Linked DNA regions of Saccharomyces cerevisiae S288C. The protein of the gene in region 1 interacts with the protein of each later gene in a pairwise test. Each region holds a gene or a part of one and is shown on either strand. Other genes may lie near its edges.

Region 1 (3,219 bases):
TGGCCCCCCACCTATGATTGCCAATCTTTTTTTGTCATTCACTGTCATGCCTAGTTACTTCTTGTTATTTCTCGCTTCCTGCTTGAATTTTCTGTATTATTGTATTTTCGACTTGTATAAAAACAGTGGCCCATTTAAATACAGTCCCAAATAACGACTGCGTTTTTGCAGTGGCATTTATCCTTGATATGAGGCTACAGGATTATCTTGCATAATGGCTTTTCTCGGCAAAAAGATGTCTGGCGCTTCCTATGTAAAGGTAATATCATGTGATTAAGAGTGAAAAGAGGAATTTAAAAGGTAGAAAAGGGTTCATGGAATCTTTCATAAAGCAGAACATTAATACTTGCCGCGTTGAAATGAGGTGCGATTTCGTGTTGTGGACGGGACATTAAATTCATCACTTATATAATTAAATATAACGTTATAGTAGATCGTCTCAAAACGGTATAACAACCCGCGCCCACCCTTAAATAGTATTACTTTTGTTCAAGATTAGCTCGAATGGTCGCTGGCAAACTGTTGAAGAACTAGATCGTTTCATGATTAACATCTTGGCGACGCAGAAGTTAATGATATAGAAATAGTGGACTATTTTGATTACTGAGGCTGTAGCCAATAAACGATAACATAAAGGGGGGGATATATAAACTTGTGTCAAAGACTAGTAACGTACGAGTGCTAAATATTATACATGTAATGTTAACGTAGTTTATCATTATACTCAGTGGGAACAAATAAAGGGAAGGGTATGAATGAGGAAGAAATACGAAAAATCCCGGATAAAAACAAAATAGATACAAATAGTATCAAATTTGTAATATTTGTCACCATCTTAATGGCAGGCGAGGGAGCTGTCATCTATCTCAGGACTATACGAAGTACACCAGCTGTAATTACCCCATATTGCCCCACACACGACAGCTAACATTAACCAACCATTATAAGTCATGAATACAAGCATGAGCATGAATGAGAATCCCACTTGCAAACCATATAGAATACTATTGGACACTTTGTCGGCTTGGTTGATCTTGGTCAGAGATCTATTTGGTAACAATACTCTCTGGGATAATTGTCTCTTATGGACACAGTACTTTAAGTACTCATAGAGGTAGGCTAGACCAAAAATTGCTAAACAACTTAAAATCAGTCCAGGCAGGGTCTTGATATGCCACCATTCAAAGACGACACACGTATTCTTGTATGACCACGAAAATAGCATATTCATCGAACAGGTATCATCTCCATCTCCCATATGCATATCACTGTGGTCGTGGCCCGCATTTCCTTCCATCTTGTGATTCATGCTATCCATCTTTTTTGAGTATCCAATTAACGAAGACGTTACCAGCTGATTGAAGGTTCTCAAAGTGACTGTACTCCATGTTTTCTTATCATCCATGTAGTTATTTTTCAAACTGCAAATTCAAGAAAAAGCCACGCGTGTGCACCTTTTTTTTCCCCTTCCAGTGCATTATGCAATAGACAGCACGAGTCTTTGAAAAAGTAACTTATAAAACTGTATCAATTTTTAAACCTAAATAGATTCATAAACTATTCGTTAATATAAAGTGTTCTAAACTATGATGAAAAAATAAGCAGAAAAGACTAATAATTCTTAGTTAAAAGCACTTTACAACTTGTCACCGTGGTGGAAGTTTTCACCGGCGTAGACAGCCTTGTCACCCAATTCTTCTTCGATTCTCAACAATTGGTTCAACTTAGCCAATCTTTCGGATCTAGCTGGAGCACCAGTCTTGATTTGACCAGTTCTCAAACCGACAACCAAGTCAGCAATGAAAGTGTCTTCAGTTTCACCAGATCTGTGGGAAACCATAACACCCCAGTTGGCAGCGAAAGAGTCTTGAGCAGCCTTGATGGATTCAGACAAGGTACCGATTTGGTTAACCTTCAACAACAAAGCGTCAGCAGCCTTCTTTTCGATGGCGGTAGCAATTCTAGCTGGGTTGGTGACAGTCAAGTCATCAGCAACAATTTGGATACCAGCGGTCTTGAAGAAGTGAGACCAAGCTTCCCAGTCATCTTCAGCAAATGGATCTTCGATGGAGACAATTGGGTATCTCTTCATCAAGGAGTGGTACATGTCAGCTAATTCGACACCAGTCAACCACTTGGATTTGTCAGATTCTGGGTTCTTGAAGTCCAAGTCGTACTTACCGTCCTTGAAGAATTCAGAGGAAGCACAGTCCAAACCGATCTTGACCTTACCGTCGTGACCAGCAGCCTTGATAGCGTCAACAATCAAGTCCAAAGCTTCTTCAGCGGTTTGAATGTTTGGAGCAACACCACCTTCGTCACCGACGTTACCGGCAGAAGCACCGTATCTCTTCTTGGTCAAAGACTTCAAGTTGTGGTAAACTTCGGAACCAATTCTCATGGCTTCAGCGAAGGTCTTAGCACCAGTTGGAGCAATCATGAATTCTTGCAAAGCCAAAGCACCACCAGCGTGGGAACCACCGTTCAAAACGTTCAAGAATGGAACTGGCAAAACGTATGGAGAGGTCTTGGACTTAGACAAGTCAGCCAAATGTTGGTACAATGGGACGTTCTTTTCAGCAGCAGCGGCTCTAGCAGCGGCCATGGAGACACCCAAGATAGCGTTAGCACCCAACTTGGACTTGTTGGCGGTACCATCCAAAGACAACAAGAAGTCATCGACGGCCTTTTGGTCCTTAACATCTAGGTTGGCCTTGACGAAAGCAGCAGCAATGACGTTGTTGACGTTGTTGACAGCGTTCATAACACCCTTACCCATCCACTTGGATTTGTCTTCATCTCTCATTTCCAAAGCTTCGTGGACACCGGTGGAGGCACCAGATGGAACAATGGATCTGAAAACACCCTTTTCGGTGGTTAATTCGACTTCGACGGTTGGGTTACCACGGGAGTCGTAGACGGATCTAGCGTAAACTTTAGAGACAGCCATTATTATTGTATGTTATAGTATTAGTTGCTTGGTGTTATGAAAGAAACTAAGAAAAGAAAAATAAAATAAAAATAAAAGATTGAGACAAGGGAAGAAAAGATACAAAATAAGAATTAATTACAATTGCGTTTGCTATAAATACGTTTTTAACAATCAACTCTGGTAGGAAGATAATGCTTTTTTTTTTTATATATGCTTGGTGCCACTTGTCACATACAATTCTACAACCTTCGACAAAAATCCAAATGATAGTAAGATCAAAGCCAGAA
Region 2 (3,414 bases), on another chromosome or scaffold:
CTTTTGCTGTTACCGCCATTGGTAGTGTTGCCAGACATTCCAAAGGGAGATGGGCCTCTACCTTGATCTTGTGCCGCCGAGGAAGGCCCATTAGTACCACTCAAGTAATTGTTCTTGTTATATGGCTGCCGCTGCGATGAGCCAAACGATATTGAGCTCCTTTTATTGCCATTGTGAAAGGGATCCATTTGAAGGGCGTGTATTTGCTCCTATAATTCCTTTCCTTCTTGTTGTCTGTTGACCCTTTAGGTTGTATGCCACTCTCGAAAACCTAAAGAACTGATTACTAAATTATTTATACAAGATTTCAGATGACAAGATGGTTCACCCCTTGCCCCTGGTCTTCCTCCCAGTAATTATTCATATTCCATTTTTTTTCATAAACGCACGCTAAGGAAAAAGAAGAGACTGAAAATTCTTGCATATTAGAATATAAAATGATATATACTACATTTATATACATCCTTAAACTGTGAAAGAAAGAATAGCGATACAAATGTCTAGGCAGTCCCTAGGACAGTGCCGGAGTTGTCATTGTGGAGAGGCAATGGTGTTTCTGTGGACATTAACGGTTCGTAATCTTTAGTTCTGTCGATATCCTCATCTCTGTAATACTTAATTCCCCAAGGTATTAATCGAATTAAACCGTCTAAACTTTTTTCGATTTTGGTGATGATCCATCCTGGTGGAGTGATCTTGTTAAACCACGATTCCTTGTAGCCTATGGCGTAACCGACACATAAGCCGAAAAAATGACCCCAGAAACTGGAGCCAGGTATAACGACGGCAATTGCGACTAATAGTACTAGGGGTGTATATAATGTCGGAATTGAGTAGTCTGTGCGAAAGATCCTTGTTCTAGGGCGGATCTGTGATTCTTTAAAACTATAGTATGCGAATAAGGTGAAACACCACCCACTGGCGCCTGCAACTAATGCTTCTGGATATAGCAACTTACCCAACAAACAGTACAGAATTCCGGCAAATAGAGCACTCAGGTTCAAAAAAACACCTGTGTACACAGTCCCATGCGTTTCTTCGAAGAGATTCAAGGGTGCCCAGATGGCTAGCACATTGAACAGTAAATGAGGCAATGATAGGTGAATTAAAGGATAAAGCGATAGCCTGCTCATTTGCAGTTTGAACAATGACTCTGGCGCCAACGACAGGTCTTCCCTTAGGGCAAAAATAAAACTTAACAGGTAAATAGCGGTTAGAAATACCACAAGGCCTGTGGTCAACGCAGCTGGTGGATGACCACCGGGAAAAACGTACGACTTCCAATTCATAGCACGACCAAATAGCACAACCTAACAACCAGAGTGAATTGCTGTTCTCAGTGCTTCCAATTAAGCCTTTCCCATCCCCCTATTCTTCTTGTATCGATGCAGTTCAAAAAAAAAAAAAAAAAGAGGCTTTAGATCTCAAAGGGCCGAAAAAAGTGAAAAATTTTCTCGAGAAATCATAAAAGCAGCCATCGCCATATATAAACAATCTATGCATATGTATGCAGCATGGCATCGCATCTTTCTTGGCGACCCGGTAGTAGCATTTAACTTCCATTAGAACCATATAAAATGCATGGGCCTACTTCAAAAGCTATTTCCCGCAATGTGAGAAGCGTGAAGAGACCAAGAAGAGCACCTAGGCCCGTGGTCTCCACGCAGGCTATGAACAAGTTGTCTAACGTAACACTCTCTGCTGAACAAGAAAAGTTGAGAGAGCGCGTTTTGTCGTTCATGCGTTCCAACTTATCTCAGTACAAGTCTGACTGGAAACATCCGGCCATGTTTGTAATCCAAGGGGACGCAGGTACAGGCAAGTCTGTGATTCTAAACTCCTTGTTCAATGAAATTCAGAAACTATCCCAGTTCTCACCTTCTTCTGAAGATATCTTACATGGGACACATAATTATCTGGTAGTCAACCATCCCGAGATGTTAAAGTTATATATCCGGATTAGTGACAGTTTCAAATATATTTCTAAATCGTCACTAGAACGGCCCACTTCGTTGATCAACAATCTACAGAAGAGAAAAGTCATGGCCGATGTAGTCATTGTAGATGAAGCACATTTGTTGGCCACTTCTAAGGATGCTTTCAAAAGATTTTATGGCGAAAACCATCTCAAAGACTTAATGTCCCTTTGTAAAGTGCTTGTATTGGTTTACGATGATAAGCAAGCTTTAAGAATGGGTTCCTATTGGGATGAAGGTTCTAATAACGGTGCCACTTTAAAGGACTTTTACAACGAGATTCCACCAAAATCCAGAGACTGGTACACTTTAAAACAGCAGTTTAGGGTTGCTGCCCCACAAAACGTGTTGAACTGGATTGACCAAATTAGTGTCGCAGGTAAAATCCCACCAATTGAATCTGTGCTATCTAAGGGCAATGCAGATTGTGCTGACGATAAAATTAAGAATTTTGATTTCAAAATTTGGGATGATTGTGGCGCCATGTACGAGGCAATCAAGGAGAAAGACCGTCAATACGGCCAATGTAGGATGCTATCTACTTACGATTTTCCCTATCGCTTGGACGGAAAAGACTATTACGTTGAATGTGGTGACAATTTCAAAGTTCGCTGGGATCGCTATACTCCACGTGAAGTGACGCCTTGGAGTGAGCGTTGCGACACGATTGATGAGGTAGGTAGTGTGTATACTATCCAAGGGTTTGATCTGAATTATGCTGGTGTAATTTTGGGCCGTTCCATTGGGTATGATGCGGCTAATGACTGCATCAAACTAAGACCAGAGCTGTATGACGATAGGGCCGGTTTCACCAAAAAGAAAAACATTCACAATGCAGAGGACGTTAAGCAAAAGATTATTATGAATAGCATTAATGTCCTCTTAACTCGTGGCGTGCGTGGTCTGTATGTTTATGCATACGATCCTGAATTAAGAGAGAGACTGCTTCGTCCATCAAAAAAATAGGAAGTACATAGTATAGACAAATTTTATAAATATTAACTTTTATTTGTTGCGATCTTCACTAATCTACGCAGATTTTGCCTTCGGTATATTAGCCTTCTTCTTGTTGAGTGCTTCCCAAGTGATTCCACCAAATACTATAAACATCCCCACCCATTGCTGGAAACGTACACTCTTACCGAAGACAATAATACTCAAAATCATCGAGACCATTTTCCTGGTGACTGTTATCATGATCAAAACTAAAGAGCCAAATTGTTCTAGAGTATAGAAAATAAAGCATTGTCCCATAGCGCCACAGAACGAATAAAGCATTAAATAGCCCCACACTTGTGGGTCCATCGTCAATACAGAAACGGCATTATCCCATTGTTTGCAGTCGATCACAATAAAATACAAAATATTCCACAATATCACGAAGAGGTTCAGTGTAAACATCAAGTGTGCACCTGTTATCAAAGTTTGTTTTCCCTTT

What was found.
Region 2: the proteins of CTR2 (region 1) and RBD2 interact in a protein complementation assay, tested with the Saccharomyces cerevisiae proteins (2 studies listed by BioGRID).

Annotation. Positions count from the first base shown.
Region 1 is NC_001140.6:451,058-454,276, reverse strand, and holds CTR2 (low-affinity Cu transporter), read right to left. Parts: upstream 1,406-3,219; coding exon 836-1,405; downstream 1-835. Other genes in the region: FMO1 (N,N-dimethylaniline monooxygenase), read right to left, coding at 1-48; YHR175W-A (uncharacterized protein), read right to left, coding at 570-719; phosphopyruvate hydratase ENO2, read right to left, coding at 1,637-2,950; YHR173C (uncharacterized protein), read left to right, coding at 3,124-3,219. UniProt on the Saccharomyces cerevisiae protein: Provides bioavailable copper via mobilization of vacuolar copper stores and export to the cytoplasm.
Region 2 is NC_001148.4:84,009-87,422, forward strand, and holds RBD2 (putative rhomboid protease RBD2), read right to left. Parts: upstream 1,290-3,414; coding exon 501-1,289; downstream 1-500. Other genes in the region: YPL247C (uncharacterized protein), read right to left, coding at 1-188; YPL245W (uncharacterized protein), read left to right, coding at 1,578-2,942; UDP-galactose transporter HUT1, read right to left, coding at 3,006-3,414. UniProt on the Saccharomyces cerevisiae protein: Probable rhomboid-type serine protease that catalyzes intramembrane proteolysis.